Lytechinus pictus: one gene and its partner. The protein of the gene in region 1 purifies or fractionates together with the protein of each later gene. This does not show direct contact. Links are inferred from orthologs where the notes say so. Each region holds a gene or a part of one and is shown in the gene's direction. Other genes may lie near its edges. The genes, in order: protein AATF-like and nucleolar protein 10-like.

Region 1 (17,004 bases):
AAATCACAAAAGGATGACTATGACATGAATAATGCGAACGCGAAGCGCGAGAAGAAAATTTTTGAAATTTTGAAACTGGATAATTCAAGCGCGTTTTGAGTAAAGAACAAACTGCGTGTTTTTGAGATTTAGACCTAGAATCTGGGCATTCTAGATACATTTCTTTTATTATGAAAATCAATAAAGCGCGAGCTGAAAAAAAATTATGGCGATCTGAAGACGGTCAATTTAAGCACTATTTCAAGCATCGTAGGAAAATTGTGAAGTGGATATTTCTGTTTGTTTCTGTTTATGGTAACTCCTGTAGGAACTCGGCAGGACAGCGTTTTGCTGGTAAACGCCAAGCTGGTATATAACCAATTACCTCGGAAGCATTTTACGTCTAGGTTAATCAGTCATAGTGGCTGACGTTATAGACGACAGATATCACCCTCGGGCCTTTTTATCCAAGTGGAGACAATGGCAGAGTAGGGATTCGAATTCACAACCTTGCGATTATGAGTCCAATGCTCTAACCACTGGACCACACGACCCGATTTCATGGGGAACTAACCCCGAACCTCCGTGTAATAATTTTCCCAGGGTAGGGTAGAAGACAGGGTAGAATATTATTTAATTGATATTCAAATTATTTCCAAGTTTTGTAAACTCCTTGTAATATGCAGCCTTTTAGCTGCCATGTGTGGTTTATATGAACAGATTTATCTTCACGTTCAATGAATGCCTTTGATAATAATACTCACCATTAAGAAAGTGCATAATACAATGTTTCTAAGTGCTACACATTACATGTTAATGTTAGGTCATGTAAAAGTAATCAGGTTACACAGGGGCCGCAGAAGGGGGGGGGGGCTAGGGGGGATTCAGCCCCCCCCCCCACTTTTTTCCAAAACCGTGCACAAAAACGTGGAAATGACCATAGGATTGTGATTTTTTGCATGGTCAGCCCCCCGCCCCCACTTTGAAAACCTTTCCGTGGCCCCTGTTACATGTATTATATACAGATAGATCACATACCTGTATAAATAAGGTACACCCTAACCGCACTCTCCAGGAGCTGAAAACAATGGATTTCAGGCTTATGTTGATTTCAATTTTACCTGTGAAATTCGTAATCATTATTTATACTTTAATAACTCTGAATTTGCAATATTTGTACATGTACTCTTTATGTATGTTAAACATACCTATGTATTTATTGTTGTATATATGTTATCATGTGCGTATATACTTGTTTTGTTTTTATGCATATGACACCAAGTGATACCAGCATATTGCTAAATGGGCACCTGAAGTAAATTATTGTTCAAATATAAAATAAAGTAAATTAATATATATATATATATATATTATAAACATTCATTATTTGTATAATATGTGTTTACTATAAAATATATATTTATGTTAAGAGAGGAATCTCATCTTTGATATGAGATCAACATCATAGCAAATCATTCGCGGATTGCAGATTGCAAGCAATAAATATCGAGGCATGTCAGAAGTGATTTGCGCAGAACTTCGCGTGTGAATCTGAATCCACTCTCATTTCAGGGATCAGTGACAATAACTTAACAAAGAATACAAAAGAAATGCTAATAAGCCAATCGTCAAATAAGCATGGTCATTGTATCATTAAACCAATCTTGTTTAACTTTTCTGCGCAACCTGATTTTGACATTAAAATTTCAAACTCGTCTTGCTCATTAATGCGTCAGTGAAGTGTTCATCTCATATCAGGTATCAAAATGAAGAGGAATAATTGAATTGTATGATGATGTAAATTAAATATCATAATTCATTTTCCTTAGAAGAAAAAAGACATGGGAATCGCGGCTTCCTTTTTTTCTGCGATGCACTGGATATATCTGGCTATGATAAAAAGGTGTGGCCTTCAAGCTAGGTAACTGTTTGATCATGTGTTTGGTTATATATATCAGTGAATAAATTTTAGTCAAATCTTACTATACAGATCATTGTTTCAATGGCCATTCATATTACCGGTACTGAGAATGTACGTAATGAGGAGTTACACAAAACAAAAAAGATCATCAAAATGCTATTGATTATATCAATATTTGATCGCATGGCTGTAAATATATCATTGAATAAGTTTCATTCCGATGTTGCTGTGCAGAGTATCGTTGCAATGAATGTTCGTATTACTGAGAATGTATGTAATGAGGAATTTAGGAAGAAGAAATGATAATCATATAATGGTATTAATTGTATCAATGTTTGATTGTGTGGCTATATATATATTAATTAAGTTTATTCAAATCTTACTATGCAAATCATTGTTACAATTAACTTTCATATTACTGAGAAAATGCATGATGAGGAATTGAACAAGAAGACAAAATAATCATAATATCAATTGTATTAATTTTTTTATAATGTGTCGATCTGTATTTATTTAAATAAATGAAAAGTATTCAAATCATACTATGCAGAGCATTGTTACAATGAACGTTCAAATTACTGAGAATGTAGTAATGAGGAATTTAACAAGAAACAAAAGTAATCATGATGATAATAAATAGTGCTTAATAGTAATAACACATTTACAGATCACCCCTGTCATTGGATCCTGGTATGCAGTTTTTCACAAATACCTACATGTAGGCTTTTGCATCATACATGAAATTGAGAAGACTTATTAATGCTTGGAAGAAGTATTCTGTCCTATTGTAACAAAAATATCTGTAGTTAAGAATAAAATGAGACTTTGTTTCTGTTATGGTTACTCTAGTCTAGACCAATGTATAATAGCATTGGGGAATCCCCCCCCCCCACCACCACCAAGGCTATGCCCCTCGCCCTTCTCATGGTCCAGGAGACTTTAACACCCTTTTTTATTCAAGTTTTGGCCTTGTTCTTGTGCTATAATTGAGAAATGTGTTCTATAAAAAAGGACCCTGAAAATATCAACATTTATGGCCCCCCCCCCTCCTAAATTTTGAAAATCACATGTGTGGGGTTCACACAGTTGTACCCCTGGGGAGCAATTCATGAAAGGATTTGTGGATGTTTTATCCGACAGTTGCCATAGTAACAGTGCTTCTCGGCCAATCAAAATCAAGGAAAGTTTTCAGATCTGTCAACTTTGTCGGATGAAAATGTTGATGAAATGCTCCTGTGATCAAAGATAATGGAATGAAATCATGTTTATACATGTATTTCATATTGTACCGTATGTATTAATAGGTGTTAATTCTAAGACACCGTTTGCCATCGCCAACTCATGTTATTATACTTCAGATTGCCTTGCCAAATTGTCATCCATTTTTTAATTATTCTACTTCAATCTGTTTGCCAGATATACATGTATCTTCTTGTCATTTTTATACTGTAAAAAATGGTTGGTTATTATTGTAAGATTTTGAAATATATTTTCTACTTCAATATGGAGCAGAATAAATAGAAGACATGCATGTAAAATTATTCATATGATTATGTTTTAAGGTCAATTCCTATTCAAGTTGATAAGAATAAAGAAAAATTTATAGCATTTCCTTTTCTACCAAAACCTAATGGACCTACTGGAATAGGAAAAATAACATATACTTTTAATGACATTGAACTCAATTTCTATTAAAGCAAATAAACCTTTACATGTATGAATTCTAAATAACAATGACATTTGACTTCATGACAATGAAGTCAAATTAAAAATAATAGTACTGCTGTATTGATTTTGTAATTGTATATTCAGGTTGATCATTTATAATATAAATATTTTGTTGCTTGAAATAGAAATCAGGAATCAAAATCCTCCAAAAATTCATTTTGCCCAATTGATCGTGGGCGTGGCAGTCTCTGAGCAGAGCCAGATAATTAATGTTTTGTGTGATGTTTATTATAAACCAGAGCATCATCTGAGTGTAATTTTCAATAATCGGGTATTTTTTATCCAATTATTGAGTGTGTGATGTGTATTGGAACCCAGAATATAATCTGAATGCACGCATGATTTAATAATGAGATTGATTAGGTTCAATTATGGTGTGTGTGTGGTGTTTTGTAACGAAGAAAATAATCTAAGTGCATTTTTTTATTATACTGATTGGTTATTATGTTCAGTTATGGTTTGTGCTTGAATATATATATATATATATATGGGGGCCAGGGTTCGATTCCCGGCAGAGACATTTTTTCGGCATAACCAATTTTTCCAAAGGGAAGATAGCTCTGGGAAACCTTGATTTAAGCTACGCCTACCATTGTTCTCTTCATCCATTTCTTTCACTATATATATATATATATATATTTGAGTGCAATTTTCAATAATCAGATAGGTAATTGATTATGTTCAATTATTGCATACATGTACATGTGTGATGTGTTTTATAACCCAGAAAATAATCTGAATGCGTGTTTTAATAACTTAGTAATCAGATTATTGAATATGTGATGTGTATTGATATTATTTAATAAATAGGGGAGACCGGGGTTAGTTGGAACATTTTTGACAAAAATGGCTGTAAAATCCAAATAGATTTTATTCGAGAAACAATAAATATATCAGCTTGAAGCATATATCTCAGGGCTTCAAATGTACCCCATAAAATTTTTAACTCTATTATGGTTACTGAAAAAATCCACCTTGAACAAGACTATCGCAAACGTTCCAACTTACCCCCATATCGGGGTAAGTTGGAACATGGTATGGGGTAAGTTGGAACACTGCATGGTCAATTAAGAATTATACTAAAACTACTTAAAACTGTAATATTACATGGTTTTAGCCTATTTGCTTTATCTTATTCAAGTTCAAAATATTAAAGTGTGGATTCGTTGAACTTTATGTTTTCTATTATACAGCCACTCACGCAAGCAGACTGTGTAGTAGAATTCCGCATATTTGGGTGCGTTTGAGTTTACATGCAATTAAGTGTACTATCAGCAATTTCATGTACTTCTGCATCAAATTTATGAGACAAAAATTGATTGTTTTTATTTTTTTCATAATTAATTATGCAAATAAGCATATAAAATTTTCCAGAAATTTGTTTTTTTTTGTATGTTTTTGCCTTAAACTATATTTATTAAGCTAGTAGAATTTTTGGTGAGAGTATCAATTTTCACATTTATAACAAATATCCACCAAAAAATGCAAAAAATATAATTTCTTATGTATTTTTTTTTTTTCGAACTTTGTTTTCTCCGATGGACTTTGTCAGGAGTCTTTTGCGATCATAAATAGCATAAAATTAATCTATGTGAACCAGCAAAAGTAAAAAATAATCATACATTTATGACTTTTGGTTGAAAAACGCAATTTGCATTGACCTTGTACATGGAATCACCTTTTTGAACAATTTTGGGTCCGAACATGCACATACAATTTGTTGCGTAATTTTTGTTGCGTAATTTTGAAACACAGGCATCACAAATTTGGTCTCAAATGATGCACAAGACTTGAAAGTAAAAAGTCAGCTAGCAGTGTAATAAAAAAAATTCGTGCGACGGCGTAGTGACAAAATTTCTTGAGGGGGGCTCAAATTGACCCCCCCCCCTTTTGATAAGGGTTAACATTGCATTAGGTGCCTACAATAGGCCTTAAATGCACACTCAGACCTAACTGATAAACAAAACAAGCATGGTATACAATACATGTTCAGAAGAGTGTGAAATACTTTGTTTTTTTTTCTCATATCCAATATTTTCATTCATAATTATGTTTGGGGTAAGTTGGAACATGTTCCAACTAGCCCCTTCAATTTTGTTCCAACTAACCCCGGAGGCTCATTTGACGTTTATAAGCTTACAGCACAAAAAAGGGACTTCACCATGGCATATTAATAACCTCATTTTGTAGCTTGGTATAAGTGTCTATTATACCCCTAAACTGGCCAACTTGATCTGTAAACTTCTCTGAGATAATCAAACATTTCTGAACGAGAAAAAATTTACTCAGAAGGTCAAAAAACAAAAATTTGTTTCTAACTTCACCAGGCTTGTTGCACATGTGTTGTCTGTAATATGGTGGATGGCCGTTGATAATGACAATAACTTGAGGGCAGTATTGCAGAAATTTATTTAAAGACGTTAAAGAAAATTACAATGTTTCAACTTACCCCATGTTCCAACTAACCCCGGTCTCCCCTACTGCTAGAAATTGTATTGAATCAACCGAGATAAAGTAGTCATGCATTGTCTTAAAATGCATACTTGCCTATAGTTTCTATTTCGTACATTGTAAAAACTCCGGTGTTGATTTAACACCAGCACGGAATATATATGTCCACACCAGAGAAGTATTGAAACAACACCAGTTTGGAATCAAACTGATGCTGTTTTAATACTAATTGGTGTTGTATAAACACCTACATGTATCTGGTGTTAGACCAAAACCAAACTGGTGTTGTTTAACACTTGTCTCGTGTGGACTTATACAGATTCCGGGCTGGTGTTAAATCAACACCAGAGTTTTTGCAGTGTAGGGACAATCCCTAGAGAGGAAGAAAAGAAGTGACACTTTTCACCCCCTCACTGCCTTGTGTTTTTTTGTTTTTGTTGAAAAAGTGTCTGTAGTATTGTGTATGATATTAAGCAGTACTTTTATCTATATTTTTTTACCCTTTCTTTATCATTTACCGTATTTGCATATATGGACCGACAGGCTTTGCAAGTGAAAAAAAATGCAATGAAAGTTCTCTTACGTGTATTAAACTAGAAAAGATTTGAAATATAATGTTCTATAACTCATCGATTTTTATTTCTTTCTCTACCTCGTGCATAAGGTTTTATCATGACTGGCTTTCACATTTTAATATGTATATTGTACTTATACCTTTCTACATGCACATGAACATTCCAGCTGCCACGGTGGCATAGTCTGCATGGCACAGACACTTGGTTTTTGCAATTCGCATAGTGCATATTAAATAGCGTCTGAAATAGTAAGACTAGATTCACTATGTATTGTGGCTGGCACAGACAGAGAGCTTGACATATAGTCTTCAATCTAGACATGGTATGATTGGTCATAAAATTTCTAATATGAGTCTGCTTGCAGACTAGCTGTGGTCTGGCGGTTCTGACTCTCGCGTTTGAAACAGAGGTTCATGGGTTCAGATCCCAGCCATGGTTTACATGTAATTTCCTTAAGCAAGAAATGACTCCACATTGTGCTGCACTCAACCCAGGTGAGGTGCATGGCAGGGTTGGGCTCAATTTCTTCAATTACAATTACGATAACAATTACGTAATTGAAGAAATGTTCAAATACAATTACTTTTCAATTAAATTACTTTTTTTTCATTTACAATTGCCAATTGCTTTTGTCAATTACAATTACATTTAGTTATTTTCTATAAAAGTCATAAATGAAATTAATTTGTATTCTGTACGTAGCACCACCTATTTCAATATAATTCTAAGTTACAGAGAAACTATGTGTTAAAGAGCACCGATTCTGCCTCTTTCTCTCTTTGATGCTGAAGCAGTTGACATGTAAAATGTCATGAATTTAAATCATAAATTAAGTAAGTTTATTGTAAAGTAATAAAATGTAATTGACAGTAATTGAAGTCAATTGCATTTTTTTTTCAATTACAATTACTTTTCCTTTCAAAATTTCAAATACAATTACAATTACTAATAAAACGTAATTACTTACATAATTGATCAATTACCTTGTAATTGTGCCCAACCCTGGTGAATGGGTACCTGGTCACGATAAATTCCATCAATGCACTAGGCACCGTTAATATTAACAGCTGGAGCTGAAGCTCGGGTAATATATAGTCCGCCAGTGAATGGGCAAATATAGAGAATCACTGCCTCATAAATATTGTGTATTAACTGAAAAGAAGATCGAAATTAAGCAACTTAAATAACTGGTTACAACACCTACAATCAGGGAAGATGCATGATGCAATTTAATACTTTTTCATGGAAAATTTTAGAATAATAAACAAATCAGAAAATTTTTTCAATTTTTTTATCAGACAAATATTTCATTCAATTTATCTGCTTGCTTATTCATTTTGCCATTTATATGATTTTCATGTATTTGATCACTTCTATATCTTAGCATTTATGGATTCCTTTCATTGTTTGTGTGTGTGGAGGGACAATGCAGATATGTATTTTGAGATGACTATTTGATATTTGTTTAAGAAATGTTATTAATATTTAGTGATTAAGACAAAGGATTGACCGTCCTGTGTTTGTGTGATTTGCAATCATTTAGTAATCCTTAGTCAATTTTGCAATTGGCTGAATTTGTTAATAATAAAAACAGAATTAAAAAAGTCAATCCTTTGGATTTGTACATCAGATATATTCAGACTAAAACTCATATATGTTTTTATTTGAAAGCCTTACTTTTGTTTCTCTATAAATTATTTTATACCCTTTGTTTATACTTTCAAGTAAATATTATGTATATTTCGTTCAGATGACGGTCTAGTTGGATGACAATGTGAAAATGAGGAATAAATATTTGATGTGATTTCTACTTTGTTATGACTCTTTTGTTCTTGTTGTTGTTGCCCAACATGGTGCATTTGGGGGAGGTTTATTTCCAATTGGTCCAATGCCAGTTCGTCCAATATTGCCAACTCGTCTACTCTCATTTGGTCTACCATCAGTTCGTCCACTATCCACATGATTGTTAATTCTTCTACTAGGCTCACCATTTTGTCTAATAACCAGTTGGTCCAATAACTGTTTAGTCCATATACCATTTGGTCTAATTGGACCAAGTGTTAATTGTGCAAAATGAATGAAAATAAAACGGATATTGGACCAACTGATTATGAGATGAAATGGTCATCTATAGACGAAATAGTGATTAGATGAAGTGATGATTGGAACAAATGGTCATTGGACCAAATGGTTGTTAGACGAAATGGCATTAGACTAAATGAAAGTAGACCATGTGTTGAGTGGACGAGTTGGCAGTAGACGAATTGGCAATTCACCATCGGGGAACTTTGGCGGGAGGTGTGGTTTAAATTAAAATGGAAATCCATGGACTCTAGCAAAACATTTATTTGAATAAAAAGAGAAAAATCAGCCAAGCATGACATTAATAAGTTCAATCGAAATCAAATGTAAAATGAGAATTTAATGACATTTTGAAATTTCATTTATTTTTCATAAACCACGATGCAACTATACAGTGATATGCAAATGAGACAATGATGTGGGGGGTGTGGTCTAGTGGTTATGACTTTCGTCTCAATCAGAGGAATGTGGGTTCTATTCCCAGCCATGGCGTGTTTTCCTTCAGCAAGAAATATACCCACATAGTGCGAACCCAGGGGGTGTTTCACAAAGATTTAAGCCGGGATGACGTAAGTCGCACTTAAATGCCAATATGTGTACACGATTTACAACGCGCGAACTTATTGATCAATGTACACAGTATAGTGCGCGTCCTCATGACACGATCTGACCAATGAGGTCAAGCCTTTTATACTGTACGCACCTAGACAGGTAAATGCCGGGTACCATGCAGCGGTTGAGGATATTCACACCACAGTTAAAATTAAACGTCCATCAAGAAAATATTGTTCGAATCTTGCCCCCTTCCCCCCCCAAAAAAAAAAAATTGTTTAAATGTTGGCTTCGAGTGGACACCCATTCCGAATTGTTTCAATCCTCAACCGTGTTCTATAATTATATACAAAACAAACTATATTTAAGTATTATTGAATATGAGAAATAATTCCATTTCTAACTTGCTCTTGGAAGATACGGTGCTAAGTTGCACAGTACACGTACGTGTGCTACATTCAGCATTTAAATGCATGTTCGTGTGGGAAAGCAAATTTCACAAGCTACGAAAAATGAAACACAAACAAGTAACGCTTTCAGAGCAAATTCTTGCTTTGAATAATCCTACACCTGTAGATGATCCTATTGATTACTGGGATGAAAGTGAGTATGATATTTACTGAATAAATATTGTTCTATATAGATAATACGATACTGCCATTAAAGAGCAGTGTGTCATTTCAGTCCCACACATGTCATTTTGTGTAACCGAGATTATCGGGGAGCCACGCCGCCGCGAGTAGCAGCCGAAGGCGAAGCCAAGCAAACGAAGACACTGGCCAGGAGCTCTCAGGCGCAGGCGCCACTTGTTCACTGCAACCATCCTGCCTGTGGGGAATCTATCATTAAAATATCAGTTTTTTGACCAAAATTATTAATTTCCATACAGTTACCCTTCCTGGTGGAGTACTTCAGGGATTGACAGTAGAGGCGCTGGTCCAAAAATTGGGATTGTCCCAGAAAACAAGGATATCCTCATAAACCAAGACAAATCATGTCTTGATAAATTGAGACTGTCCTTGTTTATGGGGACGTTTTTTTTTCACTTCCCCCTACGGGACAAAGACAGCAATTACGGGAATTGAGAGTGCTAAAAATAGATTCAGTGACCTCAATTCCCCCCAGTTCACCGTCTATTTTTCATGACTTACTGTCTTCCAATAATCTTGTTATGAAACCCGATATGTTTACATTGACTAGCACACTTGATTGGTGTCGGCACTTGACAGGTGAATGAACTTTCCTAGATTTCTTGTGTGAAGAAATCCTTATAAACTGAGACAGTCCCTGTAAACTGGGACGATCCCAATTTTCTGACCAGCGCCTCTACTGATTGAAACTAGGCCTACAAGGTAATTTATTTTTCATTAATCATGACATCAGTAACTTGGGAATAATTTTTGTATTCACCGGAGCGTTCAAAAACTTGAATTTTGGGGATATTTTTGTGTACGCCCTCTATTGGTGGAAAGTAATATGGCAAGAAAATTTTCATTTTTCAATCTCTATTTTAATTCAGAAAAAAATAATTTAAAGAATCAAATTTACGTAAGAGCGCAGAGCCAAGTTGTATGATGAATAGGTGTAATGGAAACTCTGTAAAAAAAATCAAGCATTTGTCCCAAAGAAAAAGAGAAAATAAGCCAAATATTGCCACCCTCAATATTTTGCCACACATGGAGATATAACAGAGAACAAGGTTATATCATAACCTTGTCCATTGAATGAGTGTCGGGCGCCTGGCTAGAATCGCGAATTTGATTAAGAGACTTGCTTTGACTTTTGCGATCAATTACTGGCATGACTGGTGGATTAGTTCTAACACTAAAAACAGATCTATCTCGAAGTTGGCCAGTGAGTACGAAGCCAAAACTGCGCTGAGGCTGAGCTGTGTGTGTGTGATTTGGAATTCTTGAATCTTAATGATAATGTTTTTTTTTTGTTATTTGAAATTGTTACTTAATCTTGTTGTGGTAGGCACGGCCATAGCGCACTAATCAGTGGTGCTCTCGCGGATATGCACAAAATTTGTGTAGGCGCGTCGGTTTGCTTATCAGTCAGAGGCGCACGGCCAATATGGGAGACTCTCCAATAAGGGAGACAATCTCCCATATTGGAGACTTGCTTTGTAAAAGAACAAAAGAAACAGCACCAACAAAAACATGATTTTTTTTCCACCCAAAATTTTGTCTCACTGAGGTCAGAAGCCCATTTGTTTTGTGTGTGATTGACAACAGAAATCCTTATCAAAACAAAGTAGACAGTGAATTTTTAAAGTAGACGGTGAAAAGGGGTAATTTTTCATGAGGAATCTGCTTATCAAATTTTTATTTGCCGCCAAGGTAATCCTTTTCCAGCAAATGTAAACAAAGGAAATTGATCTCCAAAACTGGAGACTGTCTCTGAAGTTGGATACCCAAATTCTTTACAAAAGTCTCTGATATTGGAGATAATCTCCCACATTGGAGACAGTCTCCAATATTGGCCATGCGCCTCTACTGGCCAATATGGGAGACAATCTCTCATATTGCAGAGATGCCAACCCTCCCGATTTCATCGGGAGGCTCCCGAAAATTCATCCCAACTCCCGCCCTTACGATTACCATCCTTATCCTCCCGAAATTACGATTTTTTTTTGCATTGATCAAATTGGATTGGAAGTACATGTATCGTCTGCTAACTTTAGCATGTAGTAACTCCATTACGTTTCGCTGCTACTAAATTCTGTGTGAAAGGCAGACAAATAAGGAGCAGCGAAAAGCTGGTGCATGTGATATGCCCAACGGGAATCCACTGTGCACCAGGCCGGTAGGCCCGGCTAGCTTCGCGAGGCGTGTGCGCTCGCGGCCGCTGGATTTGTCGAGTGGTGCGATGGAATATCGGTGTGTGATTTCGGCGTATTGATGGGTTGATATTGACACGAAATGGCGGAAAATCAACAAAAAAAGACCAAGAAATGGTCTCAGAAGTATAAGACTGAATACAGTCTCCAGTACCCGTGTATTCGGAAGTCGGAAAGAGGAATCTACCATGCATTTTGCACAATTTGCAGCGTGGACATTAAAGTTGAGCACGGAGGTCGTGATGATGTTCGGAAGCACGTAGGGAACAAACGGCATACGGACATTGCGAAGACGAGATCTTCGAGCTCCACTAGTATACCCTGTTGACTTATTTCACCAAGCAAGGGACCAGCGAGGAGGAAGACGTTACCCGCGCTTTAATAATAATAAAGAGGATAATTCCTCATTATTATAGTTGAAAAGGTAGGCTACTTTTCTTCTATTGTCCCCTCATTTTTTTTACATGTAAAAATGCATATTTGATATTTTTATTTTTATGTCAAAAAAGTGGGAACAATGTTTTTTTAAAAACATGTGAAATGCTCCAAAATAAGGGTCAGATTGCACCAGAGAGCATCTAGAAACCCAGAGCTTCCAGGGCCCTAAGGCGGGCCCTCGACCCCGGCCGCAAGGGTCGAGCGCTCCGCGCTCGAGATGTGCGCTACGCGCACATAATTTGGTGTCGGTTGCAAATCCTCCCTAATTCTGATTTCCAAAAGTTGGCATCTCTGATATTGGAGACTTGCTTTGTAAAAGAACAAAAGAAACAACACCAACCAAAGCGTTATTTTTTCCACCCAAAATTTTGTCTCGCTGAGGTCAGAAGCCCATTTGTTTTGTGTGTGGATAACAACAAATATCCTTATCGAAACAAAAGTAGACGGTGAATTTTTAAAATAGACGGTGAAAAGGAGTAATTTTTCATGAGGAATCTGCCTATCACATTTTTATTTGCCGCCAAGGTAATCCTTTTGCAGCAAATGTAAACAAAGGAGATTGGTCCCCCAAACTGGAGAATGTCGCTGAAATTGGATACCCAAATTCTCTCTCATGGGAGACAGTCTCCCATATTGGCCATGCGCCTCTACTGTCAGTGCGTTGATGCCCAGTTTGGTGCCAATATTATGGCAAATTGTAACGACTAACGTTTAAGTCTATGGCAGGGCGGAGGAATACTCAATTTCCCCCTCTGTGATTGTACCCCTGTACAATGCATACAGCGGCATCGTAACCGACTGGATTTTAGCTAGATTTTGATACCAAATTTAGCTTCGAAATCCAACGTAACCCGCTCAAAATAAGCTCAAATCTATCGATGATTCAGAGAATCTGATAAGCTCATTTTACGTTTCACCACTTTTTTTTCTCATTTTATGAATTTAGGGTTTGAATGGGTCCATAAATATGGATCGTCATCGAAACTTGAATTGAAGTTTCGATGTACATGGCTTTATATAGACCTGCGCAGGGAATCGCCCTATGCATACTGAAGTCCTAGATATAGGCTTGCAATTGCATGATGATGTTCATGGATTTTCCTGACGTGCGGCACGATGTTTACACACGAAATATGTATATTACGTCACTTAAAGTGATTGGTTAACATTGGTTTGACTTTTTAAAAATCTGAGCTAGAAGGTCACACTTGTCACCTGTGTCTGTGATATGTTACAAAAACGAAGCCCAGAAAAAATTGCGTTCGAAAATAATTATTTAGTGCTTCAAAAATTGAAATATAAAGTGACCGAAAACACCATCTTAATTTCATCCCATACACTTATGTGTACTATAGACGCGACGCCTCTTTACAAAATTGGGGTTTGCCTTGTAGTTTTAGCTTTTCATTCTCAATAATGGTTGTTTTCAGGGTTTATTAGTTCAAATACATGCACTTGTACACATGATTCATCTTGGTTTGAGGATTTTTTAAATCGGCTGCTCACAAAATTAAACAATACCTTTAATGTGCTTGCGCGCATCCGTGGAACATACAGTTGCAAGGTCAATTTCTTCTATGTAATTTTTGGCATATAAAAATGATATACTTTGCTACTTTTTCAAAAGTTATATGGAATTTCAGTAACTTTTAAGTAATTTTTATTATGTTTTAGGACTTGAGGATTATTGTTACGTATTTTTCATGACAAATTATAGAGCTTTGTAAATTTTAGGGTCCTACCTTCTTGTGGTGAGCTAAGCGATATCTGTCATTCTGTGTTTGGAGTTTGATGTGTGTGTGATGTGATTGGATGTACCGGCTTGTGGAAATAAGATTGACTGTCAATCTTGACGCGTACAGCATGACAGTGTGTACGTTACTTAACAGGTAGATCTATGTTACCATGGTTACACAGATAATTGTCTTTATAATCACTGAATTTACGGTCATCAAAGTGATAATAAAGTTGTCATGCAGTAAAGCTAAGCTTATCGTGGCAACATTTTTAATTACATACATACATGTAGATAATACAACTTTGTTCACTGTCTTGCTTGTAATTTGAGACACTCTTGAATAAAAATGAAATATTTTGTTACATACTCTGTTTGTTGTATTTTCTTTGTTAATTTGTTCTTGATAAAGTTGCAGAGATCAATAAATGAAAAGTAAAATAAAAATAGAAAGATTGTAAGTGATAATCAATGAATTGAAAGTTAAAACGATGATAATACTATAGAAACGTTAATAATATCTGAATTTGTTTTATTATTTCTAGACACTACAGCCAAAGTAGCAGAGTTTGATGAGGGAGATGAAGAAGATACTATTAAAAAGGCTCCTTCAGTTTTAAGAAGAAAGACTGCTCATCAATCGATTGAGGAAGATGGGAGATACACGGGACTGAAGACCTCGAGGAAACAATGGTCGTCATCAGGTCAGGAAACTGGGTGGGGTTTCACAAAAAATTGAAGTATGTCTAAGATGGTGTTGTAAGAAAATATTTGCAATCAAATGAAACAAATTCTGTCGCAAATTTTACAACTGAGAGATCAATTTTAGGTGTACTAGATCTGGGCCCCATATTACAAAGAGTTACGTTTGATCCGATCAATCTCAACTATATGGAAATCCATCAGTGTCATAATTTTTTCTACCGGAAATTTTCACAATGCACTTTGTGAACCAAGATAAGCACACTGAATTGTCAAGAAAACGATGAATGTGTGAATATACATCATATCCAGAAAATGTTTTGAATAATTATGCATTTTAGATGTTGACATTGCTGGCCTTCCATAGATGTGGTTGATCGGATCAATCACAACTTTTTATAAGACGGGGCCCTGATTACACTCTATGTTTCAAGAAGCAGATCAGCTCCCATTTGCAATTAATTGCAAGACATATGATTGATTTAGGGACTGAAAGTAGACTTACAATTGATCTCAAGTTTCTTGCAACACCCCATTAGTGTCGCATCACCACGTTGGTCAAATTAGGCCACAAGGATGCGTGCCACTGCGTATTAATAAGTTTGCGCGTTACTTAATCATGTGCTGATCAGCACGAAGCATGACTTAGTTGGAATCACTCTTAACTCTCTGTGAAACATCCCCCTAGTTGATCAACTTTGACTGCTTTTATACTTGCTTTACAAAGACATATCAGGCTTCAAGATTCAATATTTTTAAGGGAAATGCTACTTTCTCATTGGGTGCATTTCTATATTACTGCACAAATGGGTGAAAAGTGAAAAGGTTTTCATCAGGTCTACTTGGGGGCAGACTGATTTGAATCGCCATTTAAACCGGGGATTATGATCACCCCTTTTACAGAAATTTGTATGTTATACTGGGTCTGTATCTTGGTAAAACCCCTGCTCAGATAAACCATGTGGTGCCTCTTTTATTGTAGGACAAGGAGACAATGAATACATCAGTGAAGAAGATGATGAACTGGATGGAGATGAGGAGGATGACGATGTTGAAGATGCTGAGGAAGATGACGATGACCAAGACGATGATGATGATGACGCTGAGGAAGATGACAATGACCAAGAAGTTGATAATGATGAAGAAGACGAACTCATGACTCAACAGATCAGAGAGATGACTAGGAAGTTGAAAGGTACAGTAAACTAGTATTTGAAATAAAGGATGGGGATGATGATACTGCCGCTGCTGCTGCTGCTGAAGATGATGATGGTGATGATGATGATGATGATGATGATGATGGTGATGATGATGGTGATGATGATGATGATGATGACAACGACGATGATATGTCTAGAGGGTATTTCATGGAATTTGTGTGCACTGACTAAATTGCCAGCTCTATTTCATTGAAATCCTTGTCATTGATTGGTTGAGAAGCACTAGTCTCTGTCTGTTACCACGGTTACTGTCGAAGCTGACAACTTTCATGAAACACCCCCCCCCCCCCCCCTGATGATGATAATGGTGATAATGATATTGACGAAGATGATTGTGTGACTGGGTAAAAATTGATAATTGTTGTGAATTCATGAAATCAAAGCACCTTGATGTAAACTATACTTCTAGCCAAAATAAAAACTGCTTCAATAACTGAAGCTAATCAGTATTTCCTCTAAATTGGTATGTCACAATACAATAATGAATTATGTAATTGGGTAAAAATGTGAAATTGTGGCTAATTTAAGGAATGGAAGCAGATTTATTTTAAATCATAAGAAAAGTTGTGGAAATCTATTTGAGTTTGACTATGATTTTTTTTCAGGTAAAAGAGAGAATGTCTCAATGGATGTTGATGAGGAGATCTCAGATGATTATGATGAAGTGGATGACAATGACGATGATGATGAAGACGAGGACGATGATGATGAAGAGGATTATGATGATGAAGATGAGGAGGAAGAGGAGGATGGAGGTATCGAAGGCTTCTCCCAAATAA
Region 2 (17,198 bases), on another chromosome or scaffold:
TTTTTTTTTGGGGGGGGGGCAGGCAATTTGTTTTTTCCCAAAAAAATAAGTTGTTTTAAACCATTATTTTTAGATTAAGAGGTGATTTTTACCTGAAATTTACAAATTTTTAGACCCCCTTTTCAGCCAAAAAGTAGGTTTCATCATCTTGTGGTTCTTAAATATATTAGACGATACGAGTTGAACACGAGCAAGCAGTTTCATATAGCTATTAATTTTGCTTTTATTCCTCTAAATTGGGCTTTGCAGATATCTTATTATTGAATTAAAAAATGCTTTTTATCCATAGGGGCTACATTGACAGTACTGTACATATTACACTACATAATTTATGTCCATGCATTGACCACCATGGCATATAACAAGGCCTGTTTATAAACTATAGTGTCATAGAAGTGAGCTCCTGAGGTTTAGAATTATATATGACATCTGTCATGTGAATTTGATTGCTTGTCAGCTGATATACATGATGTAACCCGATGTAACATAAATTATAAACATCACATGCCTGTATTATACATGTAATTATGCACGTCGCAATTTTAGCCATATCTCCTTCATTTTATTGTTTGTTTTTTATTAGTTTTTTTTACCTGGTTGTGGTGTCTAACCATATGGTTGTGGGGTCAGGCTATCTGTTTATGCATACCAGAATAGTTACGACATCATGTGGGGTTGACTATAATCCATTGTTTAATGGTATTTACCTCTCTCCGCCCCCTGAATTAGCATATTTTGACAAAACACTTGCTGTCATCCTGGATGTCGGAGGTTCCAATAGATGGTACTGAGCATTGACTTTTACCTTGATCATAACAGAGATAAAGGGCTCTATAACAGCTCGATCCCTGTATGGACCCTAATTTCTGGCGTTCAGGGGGAGGGGGGGGGGGGTCTTGGTTCCACATCCGAGGGGAAATATAAGTAAATATAGGAGGTAACGTAATGAAAATCATGAATGGAAAGCAATGAAATATGTTATTTACTTTGTATAATGGAAAAAAAAATTCGGGCTCGCTTCGCTCTCTGGCGATTTGTTTATTTGTTCCCCCCCCCCCCACATTGCTATGTAAATTGTGCCCCCTAAATAAACACCACTGCCCGTTCATACCATGATATGACCAGGACATTTTTGGCTATCCCCCCCCCCCCTGGCCCCCGACCCCTATTACGCCCCTGCTATATAGTAACTTTTTTTATTTTTACATCCGATTTTCAAGAAATTTTCAGCGTACGTTGTGCTTGTAGGATTTTTCTCGATCGATTCAAATCAGCAATTTTCTGGGGGAGACTTTACCTTTCAGAATGACGTTTAGAGTATCATGCAGGGGCCGCGGAAGCGGGGGGGGGGGGGGGCTGGCCGGGGCTTCAGCCCCCCTGTTACACCCACAAATGTAATAATCGCCCACAAATGTAATAACGCCCACAAATGTAATAACACTTTACCCACAAATGTAATAACGCCCACAAATGTAATAACACTTTACCCACAAATGTAATAATTTCACCCACAAATGTAATAATGCACTTTACCCACAAATGTAATAATTTTTGATCGCCCACAAATGTAATAATGACTTTACCCACAAATGTAATAAATTTGAAGGGATTTTTGGCGAATCTGTTCTAAACTAAAATCCTATAGTAATGCGTTCATATAGCACAAAAGTGCAAAGTCTTTTTTCCAGACCTGGTTAATAAAACATTATAGTACAATTCCAAAGTCTTTTTCCAGACCCGGTTGTTTCAAAATTATAATATACGTCCAAAGTCTTTTTTCCAGACCCGGCTAATTCAAAAATTATAATGCAAGTCCAAAGTCTTTTTTCCAGACCCGGTTGTTTCAAAAATTATAATATATGTCCAAAGTCTTTTTTTTCAGACCCGGTCGTTTCAAACATTATAATAGAAGTCCAAAGTCTTTATTCCAGACCCGGTTGTTTCAAAAATTATAATATACGTCCAAAGTCTTTTTTCCAGACCCGGTTAATTAAAAAATTATAATATACGTCCAAAGTCTTTTTTCCAGACCCGGTTAATTCAAAAATTATAATATACGTCCAAAGTCTTTTTTCCAGACCCAGTTGTGTCAAAAATTATAATGCGAGTCCAAAGTCTTTTTTTTCAGACCCGGTCGTTTCAAACAATATAATATAAGTCCAAAGTCTTTTTTCCAGACCCGGTTGTTTAAAAAATTATAATATACGTCCAAAGTCTTTTTTCAGACCCGGTTAATTAAAAAATTATAATGCGAGTCCAAAGTCTTTTTTTTCAGATCCGGTCGTTTCAAACAATATAATATCAGTCCAAAGTCTTTTTTCCAGACCCGGTTGTTTCAAAAATTATAATATACGTCCAAAGTCTTTTTTCAGACCCGGTTAATTAAAAAATTATAATGCAAGTCCAAAGTCTTTTTTCCAGACCCGGTTGTTTAAAAAATTATAATATACGTCCAAAGTCTTTTTTCCAGACCCGGTTGTTTCAAAAATTATAAAATACGTCCAAAGTCTTTTTTCCAGACCCGGTAGTTTCAAAAATTATAATATACGTCCAAAGTCTTTTTTCAGACCCGGTTAATTAAAAAATTATAATGCAAGTCCAAAGTCTTTTTTCCAGACCCGGTTGTTTAAAAAATTATAATATACGTCCAAAGTCTTTTTTCCAGACCCGGTTGTTTCAAAAATTATAAAATACGTCCAAAGTCTTTTTTCCAGACCCGGTTGTTTCAAAAATTATAATATATGTCCAAAGTCTTTTTTTTCAGACCCGGTCGTTTCAAACATTATAATAGAAGTCCAAAGTCTTTATTCCAGACCCGGTTGTTTCAAAAATTATAATATACGTCCAAAGTCTTTTTTCCAGACCCGGTTAATTAAAAAATTATAATATACGTCCAAAGTCTTTTTTCCAGACCCGGTTAATTCAAAAATTATAATATACGTCCAAAGTCTTTTTTCCAGACCCAGTTGTGTCAAAAATTATAATGCGAGTCCAAAGTCTTTTTTTTCAGACCCGGTCGTTTCAAACAATATAATATAAGTCCAAAGTCTTTTTTCCAGACCCGGTTGTTTAAAAAATTATAATATACGTCCAAAGTCTTTTTTCAGACCCGGTTAATTAAAAAATTATAATGCGAGTCCAAAGTCTTTTTTTTCAGACCCGGTCGTTTCAAACAATATAATATCAGTCCAAAGTCTTTTTTCCAGACCCGGTTGTTTCAAAAATTATAATATACGTCCAAAGTCTTTTTTCAGACCCGGTTAATTAAAAAATTATAATGCAAGTCCAAAGTCTTTTTTCCAGACCCGGTTGTTTAAAAAATTATAATATACGTCCAAAGTCTTTTTTCCAGACCCGGTTGTTTCAAAAATTATAAAATACGTCCAAAGTCTTTTTTCCAGACCCGGTAGTTTCAAAAATTATAATATACGTCCAAAGTCTTTTTTCAGACCCGGTTAATTAAAAAATTATAATGCAAGTCCAAAGTCTTTTTTCCAGACCCGGTTGTTTAACCACTTGACTGCGTAGCACGTAATATTACGTGCTGGGCGAGTGTACAATCTGTGCGGGGCACGTAATATTACGTGCTTGACCTATCTTCTGTTTGAGGCCTCAGCACCGCGCTGTTAATACCCCTACGATGAAAACAGCGGATGTATATCAAATTTCAGACTATGGTCACCAGATGGCGCTATTCCACAAAAGTTATCGAAACTTTTGCAGTGATTTATAAATGTTTGTATTCACTTTTCCATAGCTAGTGATAGTGTACGGCGCTCAGTTCAAAATGGCGACTCGCAGTGGAGAAGTGAATCAGAAGGATTTTTAAGGAAAGTTTAGACGATAGGAGTAATAAATTTAGTGAAAGATCTGTGTCAGAAGGGGAAGGTGATTTTTTTGTATGGATATTGGAAATAGTGATGAGGAAAGTGATGTAATTATTTATAATTTTCCTCCCAAGTTGCTGTCGGTTGTAGTCCCAAATAGATCTAACTTGTTAGTCCCATTCAGTAGCACCAGGGTGGCCAGTGCGCATTACAGCCTATAGCAGTCAAGTGGTAAAAAAATTATAATATACGTCCAAAGTCTTTTTTCCAGACCCGGTTGTTTCAAAAATTATAAAATACGTCCAAAGTCTTTTTTCCAGACCCGGTAGTTTCAAAATAATTATAAGTCCAAACTAAGATACGATAATGATATTCTAGTGGAATAAAATGAGAATCGAGCTTAGTCTTTTCTCCAGACCCAGTTAATTAAAACTGGTAGATAAGTAACAAAGTCCCCAACTCTCTTGTAAATATTAAATAACATGGAAATATAGCGTAGTCTTTCATCCAGACCCAAATCTTTCAAATAACAAAATGAATAATAATAATAATAAATTAGTAATAATAAAAAAAGCAAACAAGGACCCACGATCCTATTTATGTTGAAATTACATGGAAATATAGCGTAGTCTTTCCTCCAGACCAAGATCTTTCAAATAAGAAATGATGAATGATAATAATAAATTAGTATTAATAAAGAAAAGCAAACAAAGACCCACGATCCTCTTTATGATGAAAAACATGGAAATATAGCGTAGTCTTTCCTCCAGACCCAGTTATAAAAGTCATTTAAAACACAACAACAAAACAAAGACCCTGCAATCTTATCAACATTGAATAACATGGAAATATGATGTAGTCTTTCCTCCAGACCCAATTATTTCAAAATAACCAAAATCATTAAAAAAGAATAACAGAATCTAAGGCCCAACTATCCTTCAAACTAAGAACCTTCAATAAATAAAAGTTTAGAGAGTTTTCTTTATTCCAGACCTTGTCATTTTAAAAATAAGATAAATGAAATCCTCATAACTAAGACTCAATCATATTCTTGTGCCTGTTCAACATGAATAAGATGATTGGGGGAGTATTTCATCAACATTTATGTCCGACAAGTTGTCAGATCTGACAACTGTTCTTGATGTTGATTGGCTAAGAAGCAGTGCTACCAGTGTCGGATAAAACGTCAGACAACTCCTTTCATGAAATGCTCCCCGGGCTCTAAGTTTTGATGTTGTTTTTTTAATAATAAATTTCTTTGCCTGGAAGACAAAATGAATGTTTAATTACATCATTTATTACAGGATGTTAGGCTGGAAGAGGGTTAAATTTTTTTGTTCTGTTTTTTTTTTAATAAACTGGTCTGGTCAAATTAAGTATGCGTTATCACAAGGGTTTTATAGTTTGGAAGATGCTGGGGTCTAAGTTTTAAGATTAATGTTTCGCTTAATTTGTATTTTAAAGAGAACTGGGTGAGGGGTAAAGACAACACTCTAAGCCCAAGCATTTTAAGTGGGTTTTAATTTTGAAGATTGGTCTTAGCTGTGATTTTTTTTCAATATTTGTTTATCTTTTAAATAACCGGGTCTAGACGAATGACTAAGCATAATACTCGTGTTATTCCACAAGAATAAGAATATGACAAAGTCTTTTGTTTTTAAGATTGTTTAAATCATTTTTAAACTACTGGGTCTGGAATAAAGACAACGCTCTAAACATGTGCTTTTCTACATGCATGGTCTTAATTTGGAGGATTTTTGGTTCTAAGATTCGTTTTGGGGGTTGGGTTTTATTGATTTTTTATTCTTGAAATAATTGCGTCTGGAGGAAAGTCGATCTTCGACAATCGGTCTTCATGTAATTCCACAGTAATTAGATTATTGGGTATTCGTTTTAGAATATTTGTAAAAACTATTTTATTTTTTTCAAATAATAACCAAGTCTGGAGAAAGGATGTTTGCTTTACCCATGCATTATTACAATGTTTTGTAGGGGTCTTAGTATCATTGAAAAAAAAAACTGGGTGTGGGGAAAAGACATACTTTTTTACTGGGTGAAACTTTGGAAAATTGGTCTTAGATTTGAAGTTTATAAATTCATTTTTTAATACCCGGGTCTGGAGGAAAGACTTTGGACTTATATTGTAATTGTTTAATTATCCGGGTCTGGAAAAAAGACTTTGCACTTTTGTGCTATATGAACGCATTTCTATAGGGTTTAGTTTTTAGTTTTAAGTAACCGGGTCTGGAGAAAAGACTACGCTTGATTCTCTTAGCGCATATATTCAAAATATATGCCGTATAAGTTGAAAAAACAACAAAGACATTAAGTCCACTAGTTTTAATCAACTGGGTCTGGAGAAAAGACTAAGCTCGATTCTCATTTTTATTCCACTGGAATATCATTATTGTATCTTAGTATGGACTTATATTATAATTTTTGAAATAAACGGGTCTGGAAAAAGACTTTGGACTTATATTAAAATTTTTGAAACAACCGGGTCTGAAAAAAAGACTTTGGACTTGCAGTATAATTTTTTAATTAACCGGGTCTGAAAAAAGACTTTGGACTTATATTATAATTTTTGAAACAACTGGGTCTGGAAAAAAGACTTTGGAAGTATATTATAATTTTTGAAACAACCGGGTCTGGAAAAAAGACTTTGGACTTATATTATAATTTTTTTAACAACCGGGTCTGAAAAAAAGACTTTGGACTTATATGATAATTTTTTAAACAACCGGGTCTGGAAAAAAGACTTTGGATTTATATTACAATTTTTGAAACAACCGGGTTTGGAAATAAGACTTTGGACGTATATTATCATTTTTGAATCAACCGGGTCTGGAAAAAAGACTTTGGACTTATATTCTAATTTTTGAAACAACCGGGTCTGAAAAAAGACTTTGGACGTATATTATAATTTTTGAATTAACCGGGTCTGAAAAAAGACTTTGGACGTATATTATAATTTTGAAACAACCGGGTCTGGAAAAAGACTTTGGACTTGTACTATAATGTTCAATTAACCGGGTTTGGAAAAAAAGACTTTGCACTTTTGTGCTATATGAACGCATTACTATAGGATTTTAGTTTAGAACGGACTCGCCAAAAATCCCTTCAAATTTATTACATTTGTGGGTAAAGTCATTATTACATTTGTGGGCGATCAAAAATTATTACATTTGTGGGTAAAGTGCATTATTACATTTGTGGGTGAAATTATTACATTTGTGGGTAAAGTGTTATTACATTTGTGGGCGTTATTACATTTGTGGGTAAAGTGTTATTACATTTGTGGGCGTTATTACATTTGTGGGCGTTATTACATTTGTGGGTGCAACACCCCCCCCCCCCCACTTTTTTCCAAAACCGTGTACAAAAACGTAAAAATGACCATATGATTGTGATTTTTTGCATGGTAAGCCCCCCCCCCCCCCCCACTTTGAAAACTGTTCCGCGGCCCCTGTCATGTATAGCCTATCCTTTCTCGTTTCGGCATGATCGTGATATAGTCCCCAAATCCAAAAGTGGGGATTATTAGAATCACACCTACATGAAAATCACTTCCTTTCTCCAGAACACAGTCCCCAACTCTCGCACAACTCTGTGGCAAAATGATAACACACACAAATGAAACACACACTGTATATATAAACACTAGGGTCCTCTCCCTATTATATACTCGTGATCCAGTCCCCACTCAATGGGAAATCCAGTTTGATTTTCACGGCGGTGGGGACAGTTCCAACAGTATAGTATACTCGTGATCCAGTCCCCACTCAATGGGAAATCCAGTTTGATTTTCACGGCGGTGGGGATAGCTCCAACAGTATTCATACTCGTGATACCGTCCCCTCACAACATAAAATCGTGCTCGTTCAACAAGGGGATGGGGACAGTTTCCTGATGTATTGTGACAAGGATAAAACATCTTAGGGTATGGCTGCGGAAGCTGAGGGAGGGGGGGGGGGGACTTCAGCCCCTACCTTTTTCCAAAACATTGTGAATCCTTCTGAACTAAAATCCTATAGAAATGCCTTCATATATAGCATAAAAGTGCAGTCTTTTTTCCAGACCCGGTTAATTAAAAATTGTAATATAAATTCAAAGTCTTTTTTTCCAGACCCGGTTAATTAAAAATTATAATATAAGTCCAAAGTCTTTTTTTCCAGACCCGGTTGTTTCAAAAATTATCATATAAGTCCAAACTAAGATACCATAATGATATTCCAGTGGAATAAAAATTAAAAATCGAGTTTAGTCTTTTCTCCAAACCCTGTTATTCCAAAATTATAAATAATAATACAACAACAACAACAACAACGTTATTCTACATCAATAATATTAGGGGGGCCTTGGTTAATTAATGTTGTTTTTTGTTTTTATTGTTTCTCGTGATTTCCTATTTTGAAATAACTGGAGCAAAGACTACACCATATTTCCGTGCTATTCAATGTTGATAAGATTGCAGGGTTTTTGTTTTGTTGTGTTTTTAACAATTTTTATAACTGGGTCTGGAGGAAAGACTACGCTATATTTCCATGTTATTTAACAATAATAAGAGATTGGGGATCTTTATTACTTTTTTACTCTTTGAGAAATGATTTGTAAAAGTGGGTCTGGAAAAAGACTTTGAACTTATATTATAATTTTAACAACCGGGTCTGGAAAAAAAGACTTTGAACTTATATTACAATTTTTAATTAACCGGGTCTGGAAAAAAGACTGCACTTTTATGCTATATATGAAGGCATTTCTATAGGATTTTAGTTCAGAAGGATTCACAATGTTTTGGAAAAAGGTAGGGGCTGAAGTCCCCCCCCCCCCCCCCCCCCTCCCTCAGCTTCCGCAGCCATACCCTAAGATGTTTTATCCTTGTCACAATGCATCAGGAAACTGTCCCCATCCCCTTGTTGAACGAGCACGATTTTATGTTGTGAGGGGACGGTATCACGAGTATGAATACTGTTGGAGCTATCCCCACCGCCGTGAAAATCAAACTGGATTTCCCATTGAGTGGGGACTGGATCACGAGTATACTATACTGTTGGAACTGTCCCCACCGCCGTGAAAATCAAACTGGATTTCCCATTGAGTGGGGACTGGATCACGAGTATATAATAGGGAGAGAACCCTAGTGTTTGGTTTATATACAGTGTGTGTTTCATTTGTGTGTGTTATCATTTTGCCACAGAGTTGTGCGAGAGTTGGGGACTGTGTTCTGGAGAAAGGAAGTGATTTTCATGCGTTCTGGTAGGTGTGATTCTAATAATCCCCACTTTTGGATTTGGGGACTTTCTCCAAGACAAGACATACTGTACTCTACGACTGGATCAATAATACACACTCCCCCCCCCCCCCCCCTCCTAGCATGCAGAGCTAGAGACCGGCTACCAGCGCTGATGAATATTCAGTAGATAATGGTTGACGTCATTAGGCACGTGGTCTACCATCTGCAACCTGGACAGTGGAAGCTGCAAACTTTAGACAGTCGTGTTTGTGAACGAAAATCCTGATTCTTATATTCGACGTTAGTGTTCGTAAAAGGGATGCAAGTTTCTTCTGCAAATAATGTCAAGGTTTACAACCTAAGCACTGGTAAAAGCTTACCAGAGGTAAGATCTTACAAAATATTCTTTTGCGTGGTTGTTCAGTTCAGTCCCACTTATATCATTTTTTGTAGGGTTACATGATAATCGTTTTTTACTTAAATTTAAAAGCCTAACTTACATCAGTACATGTAAGTATTTAACTTAAATACTTAGTTAGGCCTAACAGCTTCTCGTTAGAAATTTGCATTAATTACTGGGCACTAGGCCTAATGCAGTTTCGCATAACTCGGCTTCAGACTTTACGGCGCACGCGAATCCAAGGCCAAGGCCAAGCGATCCGCGAAGTGATGTCTGAGGATTCGAACGACATCGAGACCAAACAGTAGAGGCGCACGGCCAATATGGGAGACTCTCTCTCTCCAATAGGGGAGACAATCTCCCACATTGGAGACTTGCTTTGCAAAAGGACAAAAGAAACAACACCAACAAAAGCATGATTTTTTCCACCCAAAATTTTGTCTCACTGAGGCTGAGCCTGAGGTCAGAAGCCCATTTGTTTTGTGTGTGATTGACAACATTCAACAAAATTCCTTATCAAAACAAAAGAAGACGGTGAAAAGGGGTAATTTTTCATGAAGAATCTGCTTATCACATTTTTATTTGCCGCCAAGGTAATCCTTTTGCAGCAAATGTAAACAAAGGAAATTGGACTCCAAAACTGGAGACTGTCTCTGAAATTGGATACCCAAAATGGGCCAAATTCTTTACAAAAGTCTCTGATATTGGAGATAATCTCCCACATTGGAGACAGTCTCCAATATTGGCCGTGCGCCTCTACTGCCAAAGCTGAAATACAGCTGTTCCTGATCGCAATATTTGGAAAAGAGCACCCAAGGGCACTCACATAAAAAACATGCGAGGTTAGTTGTACTAACCTCGCACAACGCATGTCATTTCATAATGAATTTTGACGTTTTCATTCATCACACGAATGTGAGAGAATGACACACGCCAAAATCTTCACAATATACTAAATTTATTCATCTAAATCTGTTCATTGAATTAATTTTTAAAATATGCTCCAAAATATTCATAAAAAGGGATTTTTAGGGACAGTGATTTTCCGCGATCGCGGAAAACGGACGGAATTCACGGAAAGGGCCTTTTGAAACGGAAAATGGCATTTCAAACGGAAAATCACGGAAAACGTATTTTCCCTCAAAATACACAGAATAGCAACAGAAATTACTCCAAAATCACAACAAAATGAGAATATTAAATGGCCAAAAAAACCCAGAAAACACGATCTCACTTCGCTACTATCATGACAATTCACACATCGTGACTGCACTCGACATCAGCACACTCGATTGTACCCCGCACCGTACCCGTACCCGGCCGGCCGGGTTGGGCTTCACATGCACACATGTATCGTTCAGCTACATGTACACAGTTGTGTGTTGCTGCCCTCTACGTTTGAAGATGTAACAGCACGATATCGTGGACTTAAAATCCAAGATGGCGGATTGGGAAAAGACGTTGACTGATGATAACGATGTCCAAAAACCCCCAAAATTATCGATGAAATATCATTTCACCGTGAAATAATGCTAATAATATGAAAGGTGGGGATGTATGCATGCAAAATGGGTGTGTTAAAATATTTTATTCACCCGCATAGATCCGATTAGAACGGATTTTATTGTGTTGTTGGTACAGTAGCAGATACAAATTTTGACCAGTGCGAGTGTGCATGTAAATGTGTAAACGGAATTGTCACTTTTCCGTGTGTACAAAGTCTATGGGAGAACGGAATTTCCGTTTTCTGACATGCTGAAACGGAAAAGGCAATTTTTTGAAACGGAAAATCACTGTCCCTAGATTTTAAACGCTTACCTTCAAATCTCAGCCAAGATACTCCGTCCGATCCTTAATACTGCGGTGGAAATTACGCAAACAACAATCGAAATGCGAATTTTTCTTATCGAACAGTCTAGATTTAAGTCGCCAGCGCATAATAGGAAATTGTACCAAAAAAATCAACAGGCATCTCACGTATAATCGCTGATAGCGCTACATCATAAAATAACGCTGAACAGCGAAAAAAATGCGGAGCGCCTAGAACGCAACCAGCAGTACAGCTGATCTGACGTAAACGACGCAAACAAGCAAGTTTATTAAATAATATCGCGCGCCCTCTCTGTGCGTATAGAGAAAACCAGCGAATTGGCCGCATGCCTGCTTCGACATCAAGTAAAATCATCGATATAAAGTACCAGAAAGACAGAGAGGAATTGAAATTGGCTTCATATCGTTTGGTAAGTTTCATATCCAAAGCTTACTTCATGTAAAATGTAGATAAATTTCTAATTTTTACAAAAGAATAAAAAAATTATTGCAAGTGCCGTGCCAGCGGTTATCCTGTGCACGGCGGCGGTAATGTACCCATGGGTGCATCTGCATCAACTCAGACGACACGTGGACATCCATGCAAATTGTATGTGAAGAGAAGCAGACTGGATGTTAGAAAAAATACTTTCAGTGCCAGAGTTGTAAATGAATGGAACTCCTTGCCGGCAGAGATAGTTACTGCATCAACTTTGAACAGATTCAAGTCACAGTTAGACAAGTTTTGGTCTGCAGTGCAATATACTCACCCTTGGGAATAGTAACTCTGGCACAGCACACAGGCACACATTATTTTAATAGTTAGATGGAGATAGCAACAGTGATAGACCTGGAAACACGACTGCATAAGTAATTGCATTTTTCCAGTAGATCCGGTAATAAAGTAATAAAGAAAATGTCACAAAGATACTGATGACTTTTGTATGTCCCTCATAATTTAAACACAAATCTTCAATATTTCAAATAATTGGTCGATTTAAGTACCATCATTTTTCACAAGCTCTCCGATGGTACAATATTTTTTGGGGGTAATAAGATTTCAAGTATCTGATCTCTCTAGTAAGTGATTGTTTTTTTTTGGGGGGGGGCGGGGGAAGGTTCTCAGTGTGCACTACCCCCTTCTTGACATAGATCTATATCTTTCTCATTCTCTCTGTCTCTTAAAGGGGAATCCAACCCAAATAAAAACTTGTTTTTATAAGAAAAAGAAAAATCAGACAAGTTGATAGGTGAAAGTTTGAACAATATTGGACAAACAACAAGAAAGTTATGAATTTTTAAAAGTTGTAAATATTGGTAATCACTATACCCATGGAGACTTCAAATTGGCTGCATATGGGATGTCAAAGTGATGTAAGGCAAGGACCAGTCAGACCGCAGGTCCCTATGCTAATGAGCAAAAAGGCCAGATTCATCCAAATCATCTCGTGGCTGAATCCTCCTCCTTGCAAAATCTCGTGATTCATGAGATTTTCTTTCTCTAAGAATTTACCTGTTTTAACCTCAAGTTAAATGAAATATTATTGCACCATCAGATAGAGTAAAAGTTACTCTTTCATATTGGTCATTTATTTTGTATACGACATTTTGTTAAATAAGTAAATTTCTGGCCTGAAATTGTGCCTCAAAACTGAATTTTCTTCCTCTGTTTTCTTTTGCAAATTGTGCAAAACTTTTTATTTTGAGCCTCAATGATATCTATATCACCATAAAGCTGAACTTCTGTACTTTCTCACAATGCCACTCTTGATATGCGGCACCTTTTAATCGGGTCAAGATCACACTTTTCCCACCAAGGTACAAGACGAGATTTCTGAAATTTTGTACTTGCATGAAATCCAGAGTACTGATTGGCTGGATAAGGTTCACAGAACAACAGGCGCGGGGTATTTGAGGAGATTACCACATGGGAAGTGTGACCTTCCCACGAACCCAGGCACTGGAACCGTTGGAATTTGCCATTGTGTGGTCTTTTTGACCAATCAGAGTGCAGTATACTTGTTTTCAAGCTGCTTTATGTACTTGGCAAATGAAAAGTGTGATCTTGACCCGATTAAACCAATTCTTATTTTGAAACCTATATCATTTCAAAGCATACATATTCAGCTTTATCATGATATAAAAATCATTTGGGCTCAAACAAAAATAAAGTGTGAAAATAGCAGCTTTTGTCAGGTGAAAATATTTATTTTGTAGCATATTTTAGATCAAAATTTTAACCTATATTACAAAATCTTTGAATAAATCCAAACACATGACCTGAAAGAATGATTCTTCTTCTTTACAATGGTACCAAATTCATGAAATTCGATGCATAATTAGAGCAGCAATGACCGAATGAAAAGAGGTGTTTTGGTCCGCATCAAGCTCATTAAATATGCAAAACATCTCAAGTCATGAATATCACTTGGATGAAAGAAGCCACTTTCTTGGGACCTGCAGTCTGACTGAGGACTACTCTTCAATGTACTCCAATACATATTATGGCTAAAATGTAATTTTTCCCAAAAGTTTTATTTCAAATTATATTTTTCTTTCATGAGGACATAAAACAATATACTACCTGGATTATATTTAGATTACTGCCCCAGGGGAATGGGTACTTAGGAGAAAACCACAAATCCCTGATAATAAAGTACATGGCCTATGGGAAAGTTGTCCTTGCCCCTTGTCATAATTTACTTACCCAGTTGCCAATTTGAAATCTACATAGTATTAGTGATCTCAATTTTAAAGCAGCTATAACTTTCTTATTGCTTGTCCGATATCTTTCAAACTTTTGCCATTCTGTTTAATTTATTTTTCTCCTTCCCAACACAACATTTTATGGCCAAGGCTGGATTCCCCTTTAACATTTACACAAATACACTGGAAGAATGCATGTTCTATCAGCAGTTGAGCTTCCAGGTCTATCTTGATTCAAATTTCAATGACTCAAATTCAGAAAGGTTTTAAAAACCATCGCTTGAACCCATGTCACAGTGCACCCCCCCCCCCAAATAGTGAACCCATTAATTAAAAACAATGGACTTATGAATTTCATTTCCTTTCAATTCATTTATTCAATCATTTAAAAAATTATAAATATACAAACCAAAATATATACAAAATCATACATGAATGTACAGTATAGTTTAAATGATTAGGGTGCCCCTAAAAGCAAAAGCTTGATGAGTGGGACACCCAATACATACATGTATATATATAAACGTACATAAAAGTGAAAAGGTAACAATAACAAACAGTACATAAGAAATAAGACGGTAAACCTACAGGGGAGAGGGGGTCAGGAAAAGGGTGTGGAAATGAATTATGTGATTAATTAGCATACATAATTACAAGTGAACTTTTGAGTTTTGTTTTAAATGCAGTAACATTTGTGCTAGAAATTACATTGGAAGGGAGGGAATTCCATATTCGAGGACCAGTGGATTTAAATGAATAAAGGGTTGACTGATTGAACGCTACAGGATAATGGAATTTAGAGTGGGAACGAGTATTGTATTGATGGTAGTCTTTATTATATTTATATGAAATAGTGAAGATGACCACAGCAGCTCGCATCAATTTGGCACACTGTGACAAACGTGCATCAGCATTGGACATTTAAAAGCGTAATTTTATACAGGAAATGACTTTGAGTTCAACCTTCGTGAATTTGGGCCAAGAAGTTTCAGTTTAACTAAGTCTCTCTCACGCTCTGTTCTTTTTCCACAGTGGCTGTCTGATAGGAAGAAAAGAGCACTACAAAAGTCTGACCATGGTAAGCACCTGTTTCATATTATTTATAGACATGTTTGTAGTACAATGTTCGCTGCCCTATATGTTGAATATTTAAAGGGAAAAGAAAGTAGTTAGGGCAAACAATTATTTCATGACAAAGTCTTTTAGATCAAGGTTAATGGTTGCAACATAATCATTTATCTACATCTGGTACATTAACGTAAACTTATCTTTGTGAAATCATGAAAGCTTAGCTGAAAACTGATAATTCTGATGATTACTAACACAGAAAAGCAAACGTGGACAGTGTATTACATGTTGTATTCCCTAAAAAAATACCAGAAATTCTCAGCAATTACACGTTTTCTACCAGAGTCATTTGGCACTCTGATGGTAATTTCATTGGATTCTGTTTGAACTCATTTTGAGATCATTACCACGACTGGCATTTACCTTTATCAGGAATGAAGTAAAGTAAGTAGTTTAGATGAACATGGGAATATTTGCAATTTGCTTTTTTTTTATTACCGGTACTCAACATGCATGAAGTTGGATCACTGGTGTAAATGCACTTGGTGTCAACTGCTGTCTACAGATTCTATGGCCAATCAGATTTTTTATGTTTCTATATTTTTATCCATGAAACAGATTAAATGTTTTACAAAATGTAAATTATTGTATTCTGTAAGACCTGGGATGAGTATTTGCCCAGTTTTCTCAATGCATTATTTCTGCAGATTCTATCTACAGCCAAGCAAGATTTTTCTTTGCTTTGCAAGTCCCTTTGTAAAAAATAAATCATTTTCCTTTACGCATGATTTTATTTTGTAAGGGAAAACCATCACCTACCTGTAGCTCACTATGGTACACTCTAGTCTGCAGGCACAGACTGCTGGTTTTCGCAATCCGCATAGTACATATCGCAAAGTCTGAAGAAGTGAGACTAGATTTGCTATGTACCATGGCTGCCTTGGCACAGGCTTTTGGTTTTCACATACTGCATAATGCATAGTCTGAAGTAGTGAAACTAGATTCACTACATGTATGTACTCTGGCTGCCTTTATTTGACAAAGACAAAGGATTTGGCATCTAGTCTTCTCTCTAGACATGAATAATTGGTTTAGTAATAATAATATTAATACATGAGATTTATATAGTGCACTTTCCATCTTGATTACCCGGTAGATGCTCAAGGCGCTTCAGAGCAGAACAATTCAACAGAAATTATTTATATATAATACATGTCTGAACAATAAGTCAATGTCTGTCAAAAAGCACTCTTAAACAGACTGTATGTTTTCAGGTTGCCCTTGAAGGGGGTCACTGAAGTATGGGTTTTCCTACTCTGACATGGAAGAGAATTCCACAGAGTTTGAAAGGATACCTACCAGTGGCATTTTCCATGTTTCAACGCAAATACATCATTGAATTAATACTGAAGCAATACAGGGTGTGAAATTAGTGAAATACATGTCTATCTAATTCTTTTTTGTCACAGATGTTCAAAAGCGGATCCAACTCATCCAAGACTTTGAGATGCCCACAGTCAGTGGGTGTGTTCAAGTTTCTCCCGATGGACAGTATATTTTGGCCACAGGTCAGTAACTTCAGTATTCTAACAATCTTATGTCCAGTGTGCTTGTATTATATTTGTATTTATATTTTCTAAAAATCCTATTCCTGTCGTACATACCGGTACACTGTATACTTGGAAAAAAAACAAATGCAAATGCAAATGATGTGTTGCCTTGATCTCAAAATTTCCTTACAAATATATGTGATAATGTGAAGATTGAAAGATGCATTGATATTGAAAATTGAAACTAAATTGTGATTTCAGATTTGAATAGTGGAATGGCCCCTTTCGATTGACTTTTCACTAGTGTATTTTGATTACATCTCCCCCTTCTCAATGACAGGCACGTACAAGCCAAGATTCCGGTGCTATGATGTGAACCACCTTTCCATGAAGTTTGAAAGATGCATGGATTCAGAAGGTACGGGTATCTCTGTATTAATTCATGTAAAGTACATATAGAGGACCATACTGAAAAGTACCTGACAAAAAATTGTTGTTGCTGGTCCTATTGGAATTGGACCAGTGTCACATACATGTAACAGAGCTGAGCAGTAAATTGTAGGGCTAATTTAGGTGATTGCATTGACCATTACTTGCAAACAATT

The links.
Region 2: the proteins of protein AATF-like (region 1) and nucleolar protein 10-like purify together in Homo sapiens (affinity purification with mass spectrometry; 4 studies listed by BioGRID and IntAct, counting the BioPlex papers as one, with this or other methods). This does not show direct contact. The link is inferred for Lytechinus pictus from reciprocal best matches to the Homo sapiens genes AATF and NOL10.

Annotation. Positions count from the first base shown.
Region 1 is NC_087250.1:8,034,858-8,051,861, reverse strand, and holds the start of protein AATF-like, read left to right. Parts: upstream 1-9,742; 5' UTR 9,743-9,761; coding exon 9,762-9,891; intron 9,892-14,848; coding exon 14,849-15,007; intron 15,008-15,987; coding exon 15,988-16,200; intron 16,201-16,830; coding exon 16,831-17,004. UniProt on the Homo sapiens protein: Part of the small subunit (SSU) processome, first precursor of the small eukaryotic ribosomal subunit.
Region 2 is NC_087261.1:27,013,070-27,030,267, reverse strand, and holds the start of nucleolar protein 10-like, read left to right. Parts: upstream 1-8,941; 5' UTR 8,942-9,379; coding exon 9,380-9,445; intron 9,446-15,007; coding exon 15,008-15,053; intron 15,054-16,512; coding exon 16,513-16,611; intron 16,612-16,933; coding exon 16,934-17,011; intron 17,012-17,198.